Linked DNA regions of Caenorhabditis elegans. The protein of the gene in region 4 purifies or fractionates together with the protein of the main gene of each other region. This does not show direct contact. Each region holds a gene or a part of one and is shown on either strand. Other genes may lie near its edges.

Region 1 (8,293 bases), on a different chromosome or scaffold from region 4:
TGAAAAAAAAAACTAATTTCATAGTTAAGATAGAAGTCGGGTTAGCAACCGAACAAAAAAAAGAAATTTCTTGTACATAAGCTGAAACGGTAATTTAATTTTTTTTTATTTTTAGGATGTTCCCGATGAAACATAATTTAGTGGAGCTCCGTCATGTTCTGGTAGTCCAGCAACATACCTAAAGTATTTTTTGTATTGTTTTTTGTTTTTGGACGAATTTTAATTTTCAGTCGGGGAGTTTAAAACAAAATTCGTAGTTTTTTTTTTTGGTTCTTTTACTAAGATTTTTACTAAATCAAAAACAAATGCCATTTTTATAAAAACTAATTGAAACTGTCAAATTGTAAAAATCTGTTTTTTTTTTCAAACATTGTGATTTAATTACAAACTTGCAGTGCCGTTTACATTCCATATTTGGATTGGATTAGAATTGGATCTTCCATAATAGGTAGGCGCGGTTTCAGGGACCTGACGCCTGCCTCGAATCGCATTTTTACGTTTTTTTCTCATTTCAATAATTTTGTTGAAAATCAAATTAAGATATGAAAAAACAAATAGTTCGTGTATGTTTTAGAATAAGGCGCGTATTGAGGCAAGAGGCAGGCGGAGATCGCCTTAAGGTCAGGCAGGTGGGAATTTGAACGCCTTCATGGAAACCTTAGTTTTTGTAATTAACAAGACATTTTGTAATTTACAGCAAATATCAGAAAAAGATTAATGAGAAATAAGAATGTTCACTAGTACATAGCAGCTAGTTGAAACTGCGATTTTATTTTATAGTCTCACGTTCAATTTGAGCCAAATTTGCGATTCTGAGCTTGAAGTAAAAATTGTGCAGGTGGTTTGGGTATACCGTGAGACTATCCAATAAATTTACAGTTTCAGCGTGTTGTACATAAGAACACGCTGAAACTGTAATTTAATTGGATAGTCTCACGGTCAATTTGACCCGTGTTTCGGGTGTTCCCGTAAGAAACATAATTTTCTAGAGCTCTATCTTGTACTGGAGCTCCTCAGAATCCTGGTGGTCCAGCAGCACACCTGGAGGACTAAAGTGCTGAACTGTTCTCTTAAATGTTCTGTTTTTTTTCGGGCCAAAAACCAAAAGAAAACTATATTTCAAAAAAAAAACTTTTTTATTTTTATTTTTGATCAAAAACTTTTTTTGGTAAGACCTTCCTCCTGTATTTTTTTTCAATTTCAAAAATTCTGCAAGAATTCAAAATGTTGTAATTTTAGTCGCTTCAGTGAGGAAATATAAAACTGCATCTACATAGCAACTAGCTGAAACTGTAATTTTTTATTTCATAGCCTCACGGTTAATTTCCACTAAATTCGCGTTAAATCCAATGTTCTATTTTATAATTTTTTATGGATGCTTTAAGCAAAATTTGGTATTTCTTTTCGAAATTCTTCGGACCAAAAAACAAACAAAAAACAGAAAAAACTGTTTTTCCAAAGATTTTAATTCGTTTTACAGTTTTAACTTACAAATGTGATGTAGGTAGTAAGCAACAAATAAATTGCAGTTTTATAACAACTAGTTGAAACGGTCAAATTTATAAGCTCTGAAAGTTGTGTTTCCAATAAAACTCTTAATATATATCACCGATTTATAACAACTAGCGGAAACAGTAACTAAAAAATTAATTTTATAAATAATTTTAAAGTCCCAATGTTCTATTTTCGAATTCTACCCAATCGCGAGATTCTGCATTCAGATCTTATCATCTTTCTCTTCCAAATACACACACACACACCTTGAAACTAACCAATAAAAATGCAATCATCCGACCGTTTCGTCGTCGTCAAGGATCGTAACCTGGAACCAGAAGACGAGAATCATCAAAACAGAGAATTTTATGGCGGTGATCTATTGGGCGGGAAGGAACATACCACGTGGGAGAAGGGGGAGGAGAAGTCGAACATTCACGAGAAATCTTTCATTGCTGATCAGAATAAGTTCGGTTTTGTTGGCAAATTTTGAGGTTAGTTTTTTGATGAGTGCCGAAATTTTACCGAAATTTGGAATTCGGCAATTGTCAATTTTATGAACTATACCAATAAATTGTATTAAAACTTCTAGAATGCTCTAGAAAAATCTGGAAACTACTAGAATTTTCTAGAACAAAACTGGAAACTTCTAGAAATTTCCAGAGAAATCTATAAACTTCTGTAATTTTCTAGAAAAATGTGGGAACTTTAAGAATTTTTTAGAAAAATCTGGTAACTTCTAGAATTTTCTAGAAATTTTTTTTTAAATTTTATTTTTTAAAAATTACTGTTTCATCACATTGAGAAAATGTTTTTACTGTTGATTTTTCTAATTTCGTATACTGTTGACTCGGTTTGTGAAGACTCAATTTTCCAGCATGAACATCCCATCTCTCTTCGTCGACCCATTCTCTCCGCTCCTCGAGCATCCAACGGAGCAACGTGCCAAGAATGTGGCTCACGCACCAAAGCGTCCGTGTAATCTTACACAGACAGAGAAAATGGTAATAAATTTATCTTTGAAAAGATAAAAAAAATGTACTGTTTCATTAAAAACGTTTAGGCACTTGACTTGGAATTTTTTCTTTTCAAATGAATTTTTTGAAACTGCAAAAACAGTTTCATTGTTTCATTGAGCGCTTTAAAGAAGACTGTGAAACATAATCTTTGACAAGTTGGCTGAAAATGAGCCTAAACTAACAAATTTTTTAGAAAAATTTGGCTAAACTCTGAAATTTTTTGCCTAGTTTTTAATAAAATTAGCTTTTTTTTGTTGCATCAAGAAGTTTAAATGCTACACTGACTAACTAATAGAACTTTTTACAAATTGAAATGCAATATTTGGAACAGTGAACATTTTTACCTTTAATTTTTCAAATCTACTCCTAATTATGGTAAACTATTTGCAATGAGATCAATGTTATAATTTATTGTTCCGACATCTCCCGGGTTGCACAGTGTTCTCTGTGCTCGGCGCAATTTGGGAGATACCAATTAATTGAATGAAGTTGTTGTGCCAATTCTAGTTCAGAAAAAAGTAAGAGAAGACTGTAACAAAATTTACAATTTTTTTGCAATTTTGGAGCAGTTTTTGAAGTCGGTAGGCTATGTAGTTTTCGAGATCAAGAACAATCAAGAAGATCAAGAATCAGATCAAATTTTAATTTAGGAGCTGAAAAGCTGTTGGCTATTAGTTACAAAAGTCTGTTTCACTTACTTGATAAAATACAAGTGGAATTCCAAAATTTATTGTTTCGAACTTCAATGCAGGTCCCAACCAGCTTCAACTATAAAATTCTTCCAGCTCGCCGTCCGCAATGCTCTCCGCTACATTCCAAAAGAGCATCACGTCCTTCTAGCCACCGAGTTCGCTGAAGAGCTCAACACCTATGGACACATCTATGGGTATCGGTTCATGCCAAACTTTGATCTATTCGCGCCGCCCGTCTCGGAGATCGGAGCTCATTGCGAACAAGCATCGGCTATCATTTTGATGATTCTAAACAATTTGGACAAGCGGGTTGCCCAGTTTCCACAGGAATTGGTGACTTATGGAGGAAATGGTCAAGTTTTTAGGTTAGCATGGGAATCTTTCTGAAATGCTTGAGAAATGATATTTCAGCAATTGGATCCAATTCCGTCTGGTTCTTCGTTACCTCTACACAATGACTGACCATCAAACTTTGGTGCTCTATTCCGGACACCCATTGGGCCTATTTCCATCAACCCCGGACTCGCCAAGAATGACTGTTACTAATGGAATGGTAGGCCTTTGGAAACTAGGATGCTTCGTACATTTTGACATTTCAGATGATCCCGAGCTACTCGACAAAGGAGCTGTACGACAAGTATTTTGCATTAGGAGTGACGCAGTACGGACAAATGACTGCTGGAAGTTTCTGTTATATTGGACCACAGGGAATTGTACACGGGACTACGGTAAGCCGTTAAATGGAGTTTGGCATTAAAACACCGTATTACCGTCAAATTTAATGAACACACTAAAACAGTCAAATTTATTTTGGAAAATGGGCAAAGCAGAAGGTTTTCAGTATACAACGGTTTTAGATGGAATTTCAAAGGCAAAAATTCAAGGATTTCAAGATTTTTGTTTTTTTTTCTGAATATGATTCTTGTCATTTATATAATCCAAACTGCACCAATGTAGTAGAGAAGTGACTCAAAGAAAACATGTTATTTCTAATAACTAACTCAGCCCTAAAATATACGGACACTGTGAAACATTAAATTTTTGTAAATTTTATTTTTTTTTTTAAATAGTTATATAATGAACCAAAGCTGAAGTTTTGGCATTAAACACCTTATTACTGCCAGAATATATGAACACACTGAAACAGTAAATTTTATTCTGGGATATGGGCTACACAGAAGGTTTTCAGTATACAACGGTTTCAGATAGTATTTGAATGATTTTTGTTAAGTTTTTGTGTATTATTCTAGTTATTTTATAATCCAAACTCCACCAAAGTAGTAGAGAAGTGGCGTCAAGAAAACTTGATATATTGCTTTAATTTATAGCGGTGTTCTCTTGAAAACCTTCCTAATAGCTAACTCTCTAAGTCCTAAAATATGTAGACACAATGAAACAATAAATTTCTGAAATTTGTAATTTTTTTTTCAAGAGTTACATAATGAACCAAAGCTGATAATATTTTGTCCCACTGAAAAAATTTACTTACTTCAACTAACCACAGTATTTATTAAAGAGTGATAATTTAACAAAAATTTAGTTCCAGACACTTAGAAGATGACAAAATTTTTGATTTTAGCTGAAAATGAGACCTTTTTTATCAGAACTTTGAACCGCCATAACTTTTTTTTTTGAGAAATTTTCAAAATGTCTCGTTACGAAATTCAGTAGTTTTTGGGGAATCTTGGGTCGGAAAAAGCAAAATCTCAGATTTCGGTACTCCACCTTAAATAGAGTCGAATAGCTATCTTACAAAGCCCTAAAATATGTAGAAACTGTGAAAAAATAAATTTTTGTAAATTTTATTTTTATTTTTTCAGTAGTTACATAATGAACCAGAACTGATAACATTTTTTTTTAATTTGAATTTCGTAATTTTCTTAAGGTTTTTCAAAATTGACTTATTAGAAGCAGAAAGTTGAAAGTCTTTTCACTTTATAATATTTTAAAGAAATCTAAATGATTCGAGACCAGATGCAACAGATTACAGCTTTTCTACCCATATAGAAAAATAGTGACGTCACTATATGAGTTTTTCTCGATCTATTCTTCTTGTCCGATTAATTTCATCACAACTCTCCTGAATTTCTGAACCCCCTGAAACAGTAAAAATTCTCCAGATCACAGTCCTCAACGCTGGTCGTCGTATGGGACTGGATTCCCTTGCTGGTAAGGTTTTCGTAACTGCAGGACTTGGAGGAATGAGTGGAGCTCAACCAAAAGCAGCTAAGATTGCTGGATGTATTGGAGTTATTGCGGAAATTAGTGATACTGCATTGTTGAAACGTCATCAACAGGGATGGTTGGATGTATATTCGAAGGATCTTGAGGAAATTGTGAATTGGATTAAAGAGTACAGAGAGAAAAAAGAGGCAATTAGTATTGGATATTTGGGGAATGTTGTTGACTTGTGGTGAGTTTTAGAAAATTTTACTGTTTCAGAAAGTTGTTAAATTTTTTTATGAAAGTGTGAAAGGCGATCTACGGAGCAAGAGGGAAAATAATTAAAGGAAACGAGAAAAGCGGAAAAAATTGTAATACAAATAATATATCTCATAGTTTCGGAACCAAGATTTTTTTTAAATTACAGAATTTTTTACAAAGATTTTTCACAATTAATAAACTTGGTAAAACATTATTCACAAAAATTCTAGACAAAAAACTATGAGTTTTCAAAATTCCAGGGAACGGCTCGCCGAGGAACCGGAATGTCTTGTAGAACTGGGAAGTGACCAAACTTCTCTCCACAATCCATTCCTTGGAGGTTTTTACCCTGCTGGACTCACTTTTGAACAATCCAATCAAATGATGACTTCTGATCCTGTAAAATTCAAAAAACTTGTTCAAAACTCTTTAATCCGCCAAATCGCCGCCATCGACAAGATTGCTGCAAAGGGAATGTACTTCTGGGATTACGGTAATGCTTTCCTTTTGGAATGCCAGAGAGCTGGAGCCAATTTGCTCAGAGAGGATGCTCAGGATGATAAATCGTTTAGATATCCAAGTTATATGCAGGATATTATGGGGTAATAATTATTTGAAAAGAGTACAATTTAAATAAAATAAATTCTGTTTCAGAGACATCTTTTCAATGGGATTTGGACCATTCCGATGGGTTTGTACTTCTGGAAAGCCGGAAGATTTGAGATTGACTGATCAGACAGCATGCAAGATTATTGATGAGTTGAAGGATACTGATGGTGAGTGCTTTTATGTTGTAACAAAAAAATCGACTGTTTCACTATGGCTATATGTATGTTCACTATTTTGAGAAATTTGATGGGTTCAGTGTGTGTATCTTTGAAATTTAGTACTAATCTCATAAAATTGAGCATTTGTTGGCGAGAAATCATATATATGCTGTTTCATATTGTCCATAAAACTGCCGACGAATTTTGACTTTAATTTTTAATATTTGTTAGGAAATTTAGGGATGTGAAGCTGTTGAAAAAAAAAAAGAAAAACGAATAGCCAGTGTAATATTCTTGAAACCGTAAATAACTACTAAATAAAATAGCGTACTGTTTCGAGAAGTTTATATAATTTTCGCTTTTTGAAAGAGGTTATTCCGGAAATATTGCTAAAAAAAAGCAGAAAACTTCTACAATTTCGCATAGTCATTAAAGTATGTTCGATTATTTTATTTTATTAATTTTGCTGAATTAAAAAATAACATATTAAAGGTGGAGTACCGAAATTAGTGACTCTGTTTTCTTAGACCAAAATGAGTCCAAACCTACCGAATTTTGTAATGAGACGTTCTGAAAATTTCTCAAAAAAAAAAGTTATGACGGTTCAAAGTTTTAGAAAATAAGGCCCATTTTCAGCTAAAATCAAAATTTTTTCCAACTTCTCGGTGTCGCAACGTCTGGAATTGAATTTTCATTTATTCATCACTTTTTAATAAATATTGTGGTCATTGATTGGGCGTTTATTCGTTGATTTAACTACATTTATGGTCTTTGGGGCACAAATAAAAGTTACATTTTGTGCCTCACTGACCATAAATGTACTTAAATCAACGAATAAACGCCCAATCAAAGGCCACATTATTTATTAAAAAGAGATGAATAAATAAAAATTCAATTCCAAACGTTGCAACACCGAGAAATTAGATAAAATTTCGATTTTAGCTGAAAATGGGCCTTATTTTCTAAAACTTTGAACCTTCATAACTTTTTTTAAAGAAATTTTCAGAACGTCTCATCACAAAATTCGGTAGTTTTGGGCTCATTTTGTTCTAAAAAAACAGAGTCTCTAATTTCGGTACTCCACCTTTAAGAGTAGAAACATGTAGTTTTAGGGGAACTCATCAGGTTATTTATCAAATTTATGCTTGGAAAAGTTGAAAGTCTACCGAAAATGTCTTTTCCGCTGAAAAAAATTAACATCGTTCCCGGAAACCCGGGATATGTCGTACCATGATGAACAATTCACAAAGTGTCGACCGCAAAGCAAGTATACCAAAACGAGAGATAGGAGATGCGGTTTGAAAACAAGTTGAATTTGAGAATTTTTCACTGTTTCCAACTTTGCATTTTAATTTGTAACGTATTGTATTAGACAATTTGTAAAAAATTATGTTTTTTATTATCTTCAAAATACTATGATCCTGAATGAATTATTTGAAATGGGTACCCTTAACTTTAACAAATATTCGCTCTTAAAAATTCTGAGAAAATTTGCAAAAAATCACCACGTCTTCTTCTTGAATGGGTACCACTGAAAATTAATTGGGTTGTTATTTTTATTCCGAAATATACTCACACTGCTGCCAAGTTTTGAAACTTTCTGTTTCTAGCAGAGACATTGATTTTTTCATTTTGAGAACCAAAAATCGAATCATTATTTTTTGCTAGTTTAATAAGGCTGAGCAAATCAAACCACCAACTCCAAATTTCAAAGCACATTTATCATGTTTCATAGACTCTGTTAAACCAACGTTTCAGTCCCCGAATACGTGAAACAGCAATATTTGGACAACAAGAAATGGATAGAAGAAGCCGAGAAAAATAAGCTCGTCGTTGGCTCACAGGCACGGATTCTATATTCGGATCGTGCTGGAAGAGTTGCATTGGCTTCTGCATT
Region 2 (5,649 bases), on a different chromosome or scaffold from region 4:
AAAAAATATAAACCATTTTTTCATGAAAAACCATATAAAAAATCCACAAAATGATACGGCCACCCTTGGTTTTCGTTTTCTTTTTTCGTTTTCTTTGCAATTTTTTTTGCTAAACGTTAAGTTTCATGTTCGTTTGTGTTTTTACAGCTATGGGTCGTGGAATAACTTCAACTGACTACGAAAAAGGACAAATTGTGCCAAATTATCTCAAGGCTTCTCGAATCGTCAGATTTTTCGTGATTTGAAACTTTCGAGAGATATGATCACTCGATATGCTTCCAATCCTGCCGCTTATTGCACAAAAAAGTCTTCTGGTCGCACACCTTTTCTTTCTGTCAGACCCAAAAAAAAAACCGTTCGTCGAGCATCCAATTGAACAGTGACTTGCTCGAAAAGTAGGAGCGAGATGAACCTGGCAGTGTCTGTTGAGGCCGTACGACATGTTCTTTTGAAGTCTCAGTTTAACAAAAGACGAAAATTAAGAAAGGCTCCATTCATTACCAAAAAACCGCCAAAACCGTATTCAGTTTGCTAAAATCAGTCAGGGAACTAACTGAAGACAAGTGAGGATTACGGTATAATCATTCAAGCCCAGTTTTTGGTTTCAGTTCATCTTTTCTTTTCTCAAATCGTGCCACTAATCACGGTAGTAATCTGGTTCATTACAGTTAAACTTTTTCTCGTCACTGAAGATGAACTGAAACCAAAAACTGGGCTTGAATGATTATACCGTAATCCTCACTTGTCTTCAGTTAGTTCCCTGACTGATTTTAGCAAACTGAATACGGTTTTGGCGGTTTTTTGGTAATGAATGGAGCCTTTCTTAATTTTCGTCTTTTGTTAAACTGAGACTTCAAAAGGACATGTCGTACGGCCTCAACAGACACTGCCAGGTTCATCTCGCTCCTACTTTTCGAGCAAGTCACTGTTCAATTGGATGCTCGACGAACGGTTTTTTTTTTGGGTCTGACAGAAAGAAAAGGTGTGCGACCAGAAGACTTTTTTGTGCAATAAGCGGCAGGATTGGAAGCATATCGAGTGATCATATCTCTCGAAAGTTTCCAAATCACGAAAAATCTGACGATTCGAGAAGCCTTGAGATAATTTGGCACAATTTGTCCTTTTTCGCAGTCAGTTGAAGTTATTCCACGACCCATAACTGTAAAAACACAAACGAACATGAAACTTAACGTTTAGCAAAAAAAATTGCAAAGAAAACGAAAAAAGAAAACGAAAACCAAGGGTGGCCGTATCATTTTGTGGATTTTTTAAATATGGTTTTTCATGAAAAAATGGTTTATCTTTTTTACAAACGGTTCAGGTATATTTCCAATACTTATCTGAAAGTAAGTTAGTACAGCGAACATTTTCACAAGAAACTATGTTTTGCTATCTCAACCCAGTTTTGAGTTATACCAAAATTTGGGGTGGCCGTATCATTATGTGGAGCACTGTAGTATCGATACTACTAGATCAAAAGTAAATGTGAATAGTTACGGTTATGAATTATTGATTGTTTTTCCCCATCACTTTTTTTTCATGCTTCCCAGATGCCTTATCCATGTGAATATATTTATTCAAAAATCAGCTTTAATTTATTTTATATTTTCCCTTTTTTTCGGTTTTTCTCCTATGTTAGACATTCCATAAATAATGGGTTTTTAAAAAATAATTCTGTCTAATTTTTTCGGCGGTTTTAACCAATTTTCTATCATTTTCTATAATTTCCCTTTGTGTCCGTTGTTGAAATTTCCCCATTGACAGACATTTGATGATTCGGGTGCTCATTTCGCTTACAGTTATGGCTTCTGTGCTTCATGCTGAGCCAACTGTCGTTGTTGTTGGAGGTGGGCTCGCCGGGCTGTCTGCTTCACTGGATATTATCAATGGAGGTGGACGTGTGATTTTGGTAGAGGGAGAGGGAAATACTGGTGGAAATTCAGCGAAGGTAAGATCTTGCGAATTTTTGAAAAAAATCTATTTAACTTCTGGAAATATCGATTGTTAAAATTTATTTTCTCGCATTTTTTTGTTCCAAATTTCTGAAAAAGTTATTTATTTTACTATTAGTTGCAAATTGTGAAAAAAAATAATATTCTGTTTTTTTTCCTTTAAAACTGAAACGTCTCTGAAAAAATATGATAAATTAAAAAATTTCGATTGTAAGAAATTTTCAAATTTAAAAACAGTTAAATCGTGTGAAAAAGCTGGAAATAAAAAAAAAGAGTAACAAATTCTCGTTCTGAAAAATTTCAAAATTAAGTATGCCAAATTACAGTAAAATGTTTTAGTAAGTCTAGGTGATTTTTAAAAAAAGTGTCCAATATCCTCACTTCTTGAAAAAAATATTCCAGGCATCCAGCGGAATCAACGGTGCTGGAACCGAAACTCAGGAGAAACTGGGAATCAAAGATTCGCCGGAACTTCTTGTCAAGGACACTCTGAGTGCAGGAGACTCTGAAAATGACAAGAAACTTGTGGAAATTCTGGCTGCTAATTCAGCAGATGCTGTTGAATTTCTGCGTGGAGTTGAAGTGGATCTGACTGATGTGAATCTATGTGGTGGGCATTCTGTACCACGTACTCATTGGATTCCATCTCCAAAGGAAGGACGACCAATACCAGCTGGTTTCGAAATTATGAAGAGATTGAGAACAAGGCTTAATGAGAAGCAATCGGAGAATCCAGAAGCCTTCAAGCTTTTGACTCAGACTAAAATGGTTGGAATTTTGAGAGAAAATGGAAAAGTATCGGGAATCGAGATTGTAACATCAGCTTCTGGAGAGAAATCAAAGATCATCGGAGACGCTGTAATCCTTGCAACCGGTGGATTCTCTGCTGATGAAACTTTGCTCAAGGAATTTGGAGCTGAAATATTCGGATTCCCAACAACAAATGGAGCATTCGCTAAAGGAGATGGTGTGAAAATTGCGAGAGCTCTTGGAGCAAAGATTATTGGAATGGAAAATATTCAGATTCATCCTACAGCGTTTGTAGATCCAAAAGATCCATCAGCAGGAACAAAGTTCCTGGCGGCTGAGGCTATTCGTGGAAAAGGAGCTCTGCTTATTAACTCAAAGGGACAAAGATTTGGAAATGAGTTGGGAAGACGCGATTATTTAACTGGAAAGATTCTTGAGCTCGCTGAGCCAATTGAAGAGAGTTTCCAAGGAGGATCTGCTGGAAGAAATGCGGCGATTATGATTATGAATGAAGCAAATGTTGAGGCTTTTGGCAGACCTGCTTTCAATTTTTATTCGATTGTTAAGAAATTCTTTGGTAGGTTTTTTTCTGTGAAAAAGTTGGAAAACATTTTTTAAATTAGTTGTTTGTTATTTGAAAAATCCCAAACAATTTTTTTCAAATTTCATTTTTTTTTTCGAAATCCATTAACACTTCTCGAGAATAAGTTCGACAAAATCTTCGTATTAAAAATTCCCAGTTTAAAGATTTTTTTGTCGAAAATTTTATCAGCTTCCTTTTTTTTGGAGTTTAAAAGCATTTTAAATCCAAAACTAATTTTTTTTTCCGGAATTTCTGAAATTTTTAAAAATTCCCTTTTTCAAATTAATTTTTTTAATTTTTAGTTTTATATTATGAAAATTGTATTATTGCTCTGAAATCTGATTTTTTTCAGCGAAATACGAGAACTCCGCGGAGCTTGCAAAGGCTTTGGGTATCGACGAATCAGCTATTAAAACCACTTTGGAGGAATATCAGAAGAGTTTTGATGGAAAATCTGAAGATCCTTTCGGCAAAAAGGTATTCAAATATTTTTAATTTTAAAATTCTTGAAAAAATGACTAAGAATTCTGAAAAGTTGATCAAAATTGCATTTACTTTTAAAACAGACTTTATAAAATCAGAAAAGTGAAAGAAAAACTAAAATTCATAGATTTAGGAAAAATTGTGCTGAAATTGTATTATTAGAAACTTTGAGTAAAACGTTGAAAAATATCGAGAAAATCTTTCCCCGAATATTTGACGATCTATTTTCAATTTAAACTTTCCCAAGCCTAAATTTTTTTTCAAAATTAAAAAAATATCGTTCAGCAAAAAAAAATATCGAAACTGTAAAAACAAAGTTATTTTTGCATCGGAATTAGCCGAAAAATACCGAAACTGTAATAATTTCCCATTTCCAGGTGTTCCCAGTGTCTGCAATCTCTCCGACTGAGCCAATCTACGCAGCAATCGTCGTCCCAGCAATCCACTACACCATGGGTGGCCTGAAAATCGACGAGGCCACCCGCGTCATCGATGAGCATGGCAAGCCAATTGTCGGCCTTTTTGCCGCTGGAGAAGTCACTGGCGGAGTTCATGGTTCCAATCGATTGGCTGGAAATTCCCTGCTTGAATGTGTGGTGTTTGGCAGAATTGCTGGAAAATCTGCGGCTCAATCTGCTGCGGAGACTCGTACCGAGCTCTAATTCGAATATTTTTACAGAAAAAACTCAGTTTTGTGGCTCAATTCTACAGTATAATTCAGAAATTTTCAGTTAAAAAAAACATTTTTTCGCGATCCGGGATTCCCGGACCCCTGTAGATAATGATTCATTTACTAGTTCCAACCAACTTTATATGTTTTTATTATATCTACTACTCTATTCAGCATTTTTATTTTTCTTGTGATTTGCATCTTTATGGGTTCTTCTACACATATATTTATTTCTCATTTTCTCTTCATTTTCACACTCTCTCGTATTTATCGTGTTTCCTTCTTCGTATTGTGGTGTGTTTTTGGGTAATAAATGTGTTTTATTTTCAGAAGAAGCGGCAGACGATGATGATCAACGATGACGATGAGACGTTCGATGACCAATATCCAGCAGATGAAGTGACCGCAGCAACGATGCGTAGACTTGCTTTTGAAAAAATGGATGATGATTATTATCTCGGTGGAGCTGTTGGGGATGAAGTTTTTGATTCAGAGGATGATGTGAGGTAAATACACTGGAAAATGGGAGAAATTGTAATCAATGCCAAAAAAAGGAAATGCACAGCGTAAAAATTTTGGAAAAAAAAACTATTTTTCACTAAAATCACATGAATTTCTAAGTTTCCACCTTTTAAAAAAATCAGACACCGCTCGCAGGTTACGGTAGCAGTAATCCCCGACGCAGCTGAAATTCTTGCTACAGTACTCCATGCAGAAGTATTCAAAGAAAACGACCTTTTTTGGTTACTGTAGCTAAATTTTAATATGTTGGTTCAATAGAAAATCATTTTTGAGAAATATCCCTACTTCATCGAAAAATCAAGTTTTATTTCAAAACTATCCCGCTGATCAAACAAACACAGTATTCCTAGGCGAATCTAGTCCGATTCGGGAAATGTTTCTGACAAATTCAGTTGAGAACATTGTCCTTTGATATCATTCATGTAATATATTTCTAATCTAAGATAAACTTTGTCGAAAAAGTGCGTCAGAGATAAGTGAAGAAATAATGAAGATATAAGAGAGGGAAGTCCTCATTCATCAATTCTGAAGCCTATTGATAGGCGTTTAAAGAACACTCCCAATACACACGCGAGATCAAAAAACCAATACACAAAAACACTTGTACTTTTATAGAAAATTTCCGATTTGATATTTTGAATTTCCCGCCAAAACCGTCGTGTCAATTTACGAGCCCGGTTTTCTTTCTA
Region 3 (4,801 bases), on a different chromosome or scaffold from region 4:
TCACAATTTCAGGTTCGATAATCTTCCCAGTAAGCAACTTCTGACACTTTCGCTGCAAGCTCCCGACTCATGGATAGTGGAAGCCGTTTCTGCCAAGTATGATTTGGATAACATCAAGATGGAACAAGCCAACGGAGATGTCACTGCCGAGTTTGCACTCCAACACTTACTTCTCGATGGACAGTGTTTCGACGAAGTTAGTGGTCAACCACCACGCGGTCTGCAGTTCACTTTGGGAACGGACAAGAACCCTAAACAATTTGATACAATCGTTATGGCTAATTTAGGATATTTCCAACTTAAAGCAAATCCTGGTGCTTGGAAACTAGAGATCCGTGATGGAAAATCTAGTGAGATTTACAAGATTGGATCGCATGTTGGAGCGGAGAAGATTGGGGAGGATGTGCTTCAAGTTGTTATTGACTCATTCACTGGTAAATCAGTAAGAGTTCGTGTTGAAAAACGTGAAGGCATGGAGGAGAGAAATCTTCTTTCCGACGATGAAGAAGGTGTTTGGAGCAGTCTTAGCAAGTAAGCATTTTGTTTAAACTCTTTTGAAATAATCTCATAATGTTATTTTCAGCTTGGTGAGCAGCAAAGAAAAAACCCAGGAAGTGATCAATGTATTTTCTCTCGCATCCGGTCACTTGTACGAACGGTTCATGAGAATCATGATTGTCTCGGTCATGAAGAACACGAAGCATCCAGTTAAATTCTGGCTTCTCAAGAACTACCTGTCGCCACAATTCAAAGAGACACTTCCAACTCTTGCCAAGCACTATGGTTTCGAGTATGAACTGATCGAGTACAAGTGGCCAAGGTGGCTTCACCAGCAGAAGGAGAAACAACGTATTATGTGGGGATTCAAGATTCTTTTCCTTGATGTACTCTTCCCACTTGATGTTCAAAAGGTGATCTTTGTGGACGCTGACCAGGTGGTGCGTGCTGATTTGATGGAGCTGATGAAGTTTGATCTTGGAAATGCGCCATACGGATATGTGCCATTCTGTGAAAGTAGAAAGGAGATGGACGGATTCCGATTCTGGAAGCAAGGATATTGGGCGAACCATCTCGCTGGGAGAAGATATCACATTAGTGCTCTCTACGTTATTGATCTTCAAAAGTTCCGTCAAATCGCTGCCGGAGATCGTCTTCGTGGACAATATCAAGGACTATCTGGCGATCCAAACAGTCTGGCTAACTTGGATCAAGACTTGCCAAATAACATGATCCATCAGGTTAAGATCAAATCGCTTCCACAAGAGTGGCTTTGGTGTGAGACTTGGTGCGATGATGGAAGCAAGAAGAATGCAAAGACTATTGACTTGGTAAGTTGATTGAACACAACTGAAATGCTGTGCCATTGATCTGTTTTAAATTTCCGTGAACAATTAACAATTTTCAGTGCAACAACCCGCTCACAAAAGAGCCAAAGCTCGACTCAGCCGCCAGAATTATTGGAGAATGGAAAACGTATGATGACGAAATCCGGGAAGTCATTTCTGGACATTCTTCTGATAACCCTTCGGATAATGTCATTTCTGAAAATGATGACTCTCACACGGAACTTTAAATTAATCTTTTCATATGCCAAGTTTACCCGTTATTTATTGAAAATGTTTCCAATCACCATTATGATATTCAAAACTCTGGGTATATTTTTTTCCAAATCAGTCGATTCGCTTTTTCTGCTATTTATTTTTTAGCTTTTGACTATGAGAGCTTTCAAAATTTCATTTTCAAATATTGTCAAACTTGTGATGAATCTTTGAAACATTTTTTTGCCTCTCTCTATCCAATAAATATTTTCTTTTTCTTGATGTGTGGGTGTATTAAAGAATGCATTTGCTTGATTTTTCTGAAAGCGGATATTACAACAATATCAATGCGATGCTCGTCGGGTCAAATCCTCATTCGAATCATTTGATCGAAAGAAGATGTTTCGAGCGGTCATCGTTTCCTCTCTACTTGCATTCGTGTTTTCAATGTACATTGCGGACCCGGCAAAATGGGAACGCCATCAGTACTTGGTGAAGGTAAGACTTGCTCAACTCGCTTCGAATTTTATGTTTTATGTTCAGGTACTCACTAAGGATACCAAACTGAAGAATATCTCAACTTGCACGGGAACTCTTTTGTCTCCATCCGTTGTGCTAACCAGCTCGAAATGTTTCCCAGACACCAGAAAGTATGGTTTCAAATTTTTAAATATTCCCGTAGCAAAATAAGAAGCTTACGAACGAACATAGCGCATTATAGTCTCTTACATTTTACACTTTTTCTGCTCTGAATTCGACTACGCAAAAGATTCGTGAATTGGCTTGTTGTGCGGAATGTGCTGACAATTTTCGATTGAAAACTTAGACGAAACTATGCCAGAGATAGTTTATAGAAATATATGTATAGCAACTGTTGGTTTAGAAGAAACGCTGAAATGGATTTTTATTTGAAGGCAATTTAATATTTATTTAGGAACCTTATTGCACAAGCTATTATCAAAAAGAAGGATTCCTCTGCTACCATGAACAAAGCAATGCTTGCTGTGAAAATTGACGGCGACTTGGCTCTGATGAAAATCGATGCGGTTAATGAAGATCATGTAAAAAAGACTCTAGTATTTGCAACTCTTATTAGAGAAATTATTTTTATAGTTTTGCGATAAGGAGCCACACCCACCAAGAGTTGCACGGCTCAACTTCAAACCAAGCTTGACTGATGCTACTTACCGTACAATTGTGCCAAGGGATCTTCAAGATTCCAAATGTAGAGTGATTGGATTTGAAACTACGGAAGATGGTTCGTAACTACAAAACTATGTAGCTACTAAATAAGTTATTATATTTTTAGTGGAAGACTTCGCTACTTCACACAAAGTCCAAGTATTGGATCTTGATGTTCACGCTGACACAGAAAATCTCATGTTCTCAGAAGTTAACAGTAACTCTACAGGTCGTGTTTGCTGGGTAAGCGTTTTTGTTGTTTTTTGGAAATACACACTTTCAAACTTTGCATTACTTAGTTTTTATAAAAAGTAATTGTTCAAATTCAGGATGATATAGGAGCACCACTGGAATGTGTTCTGGATGTAGAAAACAATAAATATGTTCAAGTAGGAATTGTTTCTGGTCTCTACGGGCGTGAGGTAGGCTTATCGCTTATTTTGTCTTTAAACTTATGATTTTTATAGATGGACAAGGAAGACAACAGCACAATGGTGGTTGTCAACTGCTCAGAAGTTCAGGTAAAATCAACGAGCAATTATTCTGAATACATTACGTAATAGAAATTCTTTATAAAAAACCGCATTTTGTAGTGTTGAGAATCTTATCAGACAACAAAATACGCCGGTGATTGATTTCTCATCTTTTGGACTTTCGGGAGGAAATATGAGATTAAAAGAAACGGGGGGCAAGGGGCAAAGTAAATAATCTTCTCCATTATGTGGATTTCCAATATTATCAATTTCCAGACCATGCAATTTGTTGTCTTTAGCGACAATACATTTGTCCATGCTATTGAGAATGTGGACAAGGCTAGCGTTTTTGAAGCACAGGACAAATGCTTCTAATTTAAATTCCACTTTTTCATTCTTCATTCCCTTTGAAATAAATGTTTTTATGATGCAATAAACACTTGTTGGTCCCTTATAACGTATTGATTTTCGTGTGCACATTTTGTGTTTGCTCTGTACTTCTATTCTTACGTTTGCATCTTTCATTCTATCCTTTGGTTTCAATTAAAATTGTTGCAAAAACCTAAATGAACATCGGTCTTTTTCAAGAATCTTTTAGTGTAATAATTGTGTTTGAAAATCAATCAGATGTTTGTTGCAGAAAAAATGAAAAAGAAACATTCTATTTTTTTGAAACAACGAACTTCTCATTACTTCGAATGTTTTATATTTCGGTACTTGTGTAGTACATACCTAGCCCAAAAATGTTAACCATTTTGAAAATGTGTCCGTGACCCTTTGTGTTCATATTATCCTCGGGATCAGTGTTTTTTGAGCATGGAAATACAAATCAATTTCAGTTTTTAATTAAATAATTGTTTTATAAAGAAATGAACGGAAAATGTATTGCAAAATGTTTTTGAACCTGGTATACTTCACAATTACCAAAATTTTACCCAAAAAACTAAGTAAACGTAGAAAATAAATAAGTGTTTAGCTTATTCTAATTAATGAGTTGTCTGTTCAAAAATTCTTTGAAGCCGTGCGTTTTGATGTCTGCTCTTTTGAACTCTATGCTACAACTATACACGTTCTGTGTTGCCATAGAAAATGAATTTCCCATTGGTTTCGCCCATTTCCTCAGCTTTTTCTTTCAGTATTTTGTAGTTAAAAGGCTTATTTAAGTTGTTTCTTTTTCATTGAAAATTCACTTCTTCAGAAAAAGTTTCAGAACCAGTGACAACATGCAAAAACTCAATTGGAAACTACTCATATTATCTGCTGTTCTTGCAATTACTGCCATTTTTCAAGTAAGACCATCGAGTTTTTTTTTCTTTTTGTTTTCAATTCAAAATTTCAAGATGGGATATACGAATGCCTATCCAAACACAGCTATTGGAAGTTTTCGAATATTTCTCAACGAGTCAGCCAATGAGCCATATACACTATCAAACTCGGAATTTGAATGGGCCTGGTCAGCAATGCTTGCAATTTATTTTATTGGATTCGCGGCTGGTAGCGTGATATCGGCTGGCGTTGCAGATAGAATAGGAAGAAAATGTGAGTTATATTACTTATAGTTGAGATATATTTCACAGTTAATATTTTAGGGACCTTGTTTCTTGGCAC
Region 4 (4,222 bases):
TAGAGGTCAGCAAAATTGCTCCAAATGTGCATCTTTTTGCTGGTTGAGATGATTTTTAGGTTGCGTGAGCTAAAATACATTCTTCGTTAGTTAGCTATGTTTCTTCGCCTCCTAAATTCGAATCATTAATTGCTCAAATCCGTAAGTTAGAAATACACAAATTTCTTGAAACTCTTAGATTTTAAAAGTGAGATATATATTCTAAAGTTCTCCTTTTTTCAACCACTCTAACTAACAAATTAAACGTTTCGAAATTTGGTTTTGTCTGAACATTTTTTTAATTATGGCTCATACTGAGTTTTCATGTTTAACAACTTTTTTGTAGACTATAAGGATGTCACCTTTAGAAAAAACATCACATCATAAAATCGAGATTTCTTCTTCTTTACGGTTTTAGAATTATTGACTTTTGTTTTTCTATTTCCATAATTTCATTCAGAAATTTTGCAGTTTAGTCTCCACAAAGTCATTCAAATTCAGCTCAGGATGTTTAGTCAGAGATTCAAATTTTTAGAGAAAATCCGCTGGGGAACTCCGTTCTCGACGTTGGATGAATAAACAAACGACTTCTTCTCTTGTAGCGAAACATTTCGAAATTCAAAGCAGAACGAATTCTGTGTCTCAACACAAAAAGTGACGTGGGGTTTGGAAGAACTAATCGAATAAAGGGTGGACATGATGACTATTCTGTTTATTTGCTTTTTGACTCAAAAAATACACACTGAGAAATGACGGATCAAAACTTGACAGTTCGGAAGATCGGGCAAAAATCAATTTGATTGGATTTTTCACGTGGTGAAACTTTGTATTTAGTTAAATGCAAAGATAGTATGACAGGATATATGATTAGAAAGAGACAAGAATATGAACCAATTACGTCTACAGTATACTAATAGTAAGAAATAGCTACTCGTCACTTATGTAGAACCTTTTGATTTGTGATTTTCTAGTCGTGTGATAATGTCTATTGGTCAAAACATTAATTTACTCCCATGATTTGTAATTTCAGAATGAAGTGACCGCGGTACAATTGAGGCGTTGTCTGGCTGAAATTGGAATTATGATATGAGTTAATGATAACCAGTGATGACAGCTCAAGCAGTCTGGAACAAATAAATAACAACAACGAATTCAAAACCCGATTTTCCCCAAAAATAAAACAAAAAACCCCTAACGTACTTATTGCGTGCAAATCCATTGACAACCTGTGCTCAATGCCTATTTTTTACATTTATGTGCATGAGAGTAGAGTATATGTGTACCATGTTATGAGAAACAAGAAATGTTATCCAAATTTAGTTTTGAAGCTGAAGTTTCCGACAAAGAGCCCGCCAGAGTCTGGTCTTAAAAAATGAGAACGATCGACGTAACAGTCTTATCCCATAATTCTCATGAAAATTTCTGAAGTAGAGTAGAATTTGTAATTTAAAAAATGACAGCAGCCCTTGAATTCACTTGTATCTGTTTTTGTTGTCAATATGGATGATGGAAAATTCATTAACTGAAACAATGTTTTTAGTTGTGCACTCGTTAAAATGATTAATTGTGCACTTTTATCAGAAGCACTCAACTGTAAAGAAGTGCCATTAACATGTCAATTTGTTTTGCGACTGGGAGAAAATACTTGCACTTTTGATAGAAGTTTCATATTCCATGCACTATCAATTGTCAGTTGTTTGATAGTTTAGATTAATAGTTCTATTTGTTCTTTTTTCTGTGTAAAAGAGCATACTTTGGCCTATGCGAAATCAGACATCAGTTTAGTTTAGAGACTTTTTTTCATCCGATTACTATAATGTTAAAGATAAACATTTCTCTTGTCAATCACGACGTATTGAAACTTTCCACATACCAATTTATTTCAGACTATATAAATAGATGATAAACGCATTGGAAAATCAAACTTTTCTATTCATTTTTTGTTCTTCATTATTCTAAGTTCTCAACAATGCCAAACTATGAGCTGAAAGGCAATCTAAAAATGGCTGACGTAGCGGATCCAGAAGTTGAGAGTAGGCCCCAACGATTCCCTAAGAATATTATGATAACTGGAGCTAATCGTGGAATTGGATTCGGACTTGTCAAACATTTTCTGGAATATGATGGAATTGAACTTCTTATTGCCACGTGCAGAAACCCAGAGAAAGCAGATGAACTGAATGCATTGAAAAATGATAGAAGACTTCATGTAATTGCATTGAATGTAGATGATGATGAATCCATCAAGAAAGTATTCGATGAAGTATCTTCACTTGTATCATCAAATGGACTTAATATGCTTATCAACAATGCTGGAATACTTCTTCCATATGAAGTGGATGGTCCAAAGATCTGTAGAAAAACGATGATGAAACAATTGGAAACTAATTCAGTGTCTGTTGCAATTTTAACTCAAATATTCCTTCCATTGATCAAGACAGCTGCATCAGCTGCAGAAGGAGATGAAGCAAGTATTGATCGAGCATCTATTATTAACATTTCATCTACAATGGCATCAATTGAAATGAACAATGGATGCTTTGATGGTCCTATGGTATTGTTTTTTTTTTTTCATTTACAGTTATTGCCTGTTTCAATTACTCCTATGTCCAAATGTATAGTGAAACCTTTCAGAAATTTTTTCATTATTATTTTTTAGTTAACAGTCAAGAAATGACGGTACTTACTTTTCAAATATAAGTAGGAAATCAACGAAAAATTTTTTCTCTCGTCCATTTTCATCCTAATAGATCAATTTTTTCTAATTTTTGCATTTAACGTAAACGTTAACTGTAAAGTTTGAAAAATCCAAAATTGCAAAACCATTAGTTTCAAAATACCAAAAATATTCAAAAATCTATTTCAGTATCAAATTTACTTCAAATAAATTAGATATTTGACCAATCAGCGACTAGGGTGGGCGTGGTTAACGGCGCTCATTGGTCGGCACCATTCTGCTCAGCGCGCGAATTTAAAATGTACAAAAACCAAAAATTGACCGATCCATAATTTTTCAGACCGCATACCGAATGAGTAAATCTGCTCTGAATGCATTTGCGCGTCAATCATTCATGGAACTATCTAAATATCATATTCTTGTCACTTCATTCTGTCCAGGATGGGTCCGTACTGATATGGGAGGTGATAATGCTGATTTGGATGTCAATGAATCAACTAAAACACTTTCTGCAAACATTCTTCGACTCGATAATCGTAACAATGGGTTGTACTTTGACAGATTCTTGCATCCAATTCCAAACTGATATCATTTCTAAAAAGCACATTTTGTTCTTCGTATTTGCATCCGATATCGGTGATAATCTTGAATTTGTTTTGTTTAAGATGCAAAAGCTAGAATTTTTTCTTGTAATTCGGAGAATTTAATTTTGCTTCCACACCAAAAAACTCCAGTTTATCCCCCCCCCCCCCCCCCCCATTGACGTAATACCCGCCTTTTGTTGTGAGCAATAAAATAAAGAGATCTTTGAAGCTGCAAAAATGATGTTTTCATCTTTTGTGACCTTAAACTCTAAAGAGCACTATGTTGTCCACATTGATCAGACTGATTTAGGAATGTCTGGAATTACGTTGTGATGATGTCAGTCAACAACTCTGAATGAATGAAGAACGCCCGACAATGGATGGGATTATGGGATTTACACATCAAGCGTGGGAAAAGCAGGAATTATAGATTTAGGGTATACTTTGCAAATGCAGAAATATGTGTTATTAAAATTTGAATAAAAAGGGATTTTATGAAATTAAACAAGATCTTATTTTACATGATTAAGGCAACAAAATGAAAATTATTATACATGCTATAACTCAAATGAATCTTCTAGATCGTCGCTGTCTTCAATCTCGGTTTTGATATTCTGATCCTCCTCGACGTTCACTGTTGGTCTTATTCGTGTTCGTGTAGATTTCGGGACATACTGGAAAAGCTACTACCAAATTTAGAATAGATAGTGTGGACACAATATACCTCAAAACTATCATCAGCGTCAATTTTTTCTTCTTCTTCAGAATTCTCTCTTTTTCGTCCTCTTTTCCTTCCCAATGATGAAGATGACGATACTGATTTTGGATCTTCATCGGCACAAATCACTTCTTTTTTAACTTTCTTGAAATCGACACCCAACTTCAGAGCATTCATCCGTTCGTGTAATGTAATCACCTTCTCACAATGTGTCAAAAATCGCTTGAAAGCGATTTGAGTAGTTTTATTAGAGTTGAAGCGAAC

The links.
Region 1: the proteins of C30G12.2 (region 4) and uroc-1 fractionate together in Caenorhabditis elegans (co-fractionation; one large-scale study listed by BioGRID). This does not show direct contact.
Region 2: the proteins of C30G12.2 (region 4) and F48E8.3 fractionate together in Caenorhabditis elegans (co-fractionation; one large-scale study listed by BioGRID). This does not show direct contact.
Region 3: the proteins of C30G12.2 (region 4) and try-14 fractionate together in Caenorhabditis elegans (co-fractionation; one large-scale study listed by BioGRID). This does not show direct contact.

Annotation. Positions count from the first base shown.
Region 1 is NC_003282.8:16,536,402-16,544,694, reverse strand, and holds the start of uroc-1 (putative urocanate hydratase), read left to right. Parts: upstream 1-1,945; 5' UTR 1,946-1,988; intron 1,989-2,327; exon of another isoform or gene 2,328-2,348; intron 2,349-2,371; 5' UTR 2,372-2,372; coding exon 2,373-2,498; intron 2,499-2,776; exon of another isoform or gene 2,777-2,801; intron 2,802-3,241; exon of another isoform or gene 3,242-3,268; intron 3,269-3,298; coding exon 3,299-3,570; intron 3,571-3,616; coding exon 3,617-3,758; intron 3,759-3,804; coding exon 3,805-3,933; intron 3,934-3,937; exon of another isoform or gene 3,938-3,958; intron 3,959-3,969; exon of another isoform or gene 3,970-3,990; intron 3,991-4,286; exon of another isoform or gene 4,287-4,307; intron 4,308-4,537; exon of another isoform or gene 4,538-4,558; intron 4,559-4,924; exon of another isoform or gene 4,925-4,945; intron 4,946-5,244; exon of another isoform or gene 5,245-5,265; intron 5,266-5,325; coding exon 5,326-5,618; intron 5,619-5,685; exon of another isoform or gene 5,686-5,706; intron 5,707-5,889; coding exon 5,890-6,231; intron 6,232-6,283; coding exon 6,284-6,405; intron 6,406-6,485; exon of another isoform or gene 6,486-6,506; intron 6,507-6,610; and 11 more.
Region 2 is NC_003281.10:5,459,615-5,465,263, forward strand, and holds F48E8.3 (fumarate reductase (NADH)), read left to right. Parts: upstream 1-1,764; 5' UTR 1,765-1,801; coding exon 1,802-1,948; intron 1,949-2,354; coding exon 2,355-3,279; intron 3,280-3,637; coding exon 3,638-3,762; intron 3,763-4,145; coding exon 4,146-4,430; 3' UTR 4,431-4,768; downstream 4,769-5,649. Other genes in the region: F48E8.2 (E2F-associated phosphoprotein), read left to right, coding at 4,784-4,944.
Region 3 is NC_003284.9:7,492,701-7,497,501, reverse strand, and holds try-14 (Peptidase S1 domain-containing protein), read left to right. Parts: upstream 1-1,910; 5' UTR 1,911-1,937; coding exon 1,938-2,036; intron 2,037-2,081; coding exon 2,082-2,188; intron 2,189-2,472; coding exon 2,473-2,599; intron 2,600-2,651; coding exon 2,652-2,796; intron 2,797-2,847; coding exon 2,848-2,963; intron 2,964-3,049; coding exon 3,050-3,142; intron 3,143-3,187; coding exon 3,188-3,241; intron 3,242-3,469; coding exon 3,470-3,568; 3' UTR 3,569-3,778; downstream 3,779-4,801. Other genes in the region: uggt-1 (UDP-Glucose Glycoprotein glucosylTransferase), read left to right, coding at 13-531, 584-1,328, 1,406-1,573; F48E3.2 (Major facilitator superfamily (MFS) profile domain-containing protein), read left to right, coding at 4,417-4,482, 4,534-4,732, 4,783-4,801.
Region 4 is NC_003280.10:7,288,478-7,292,699, forward strand, and holds C30G12.2 (DeHydrogenases, Short chain), read left to right. Parts: upstream 1-1,948; coding exon 1,949-2,533; intron 2,534-2,996; coding exon 2,997-3,242; downstream 3,243-4,222. Other genes in the region: C30G12.6 (uncharacterized protein), read right to left, coding at 3,798-3,923, 3,965-4,222.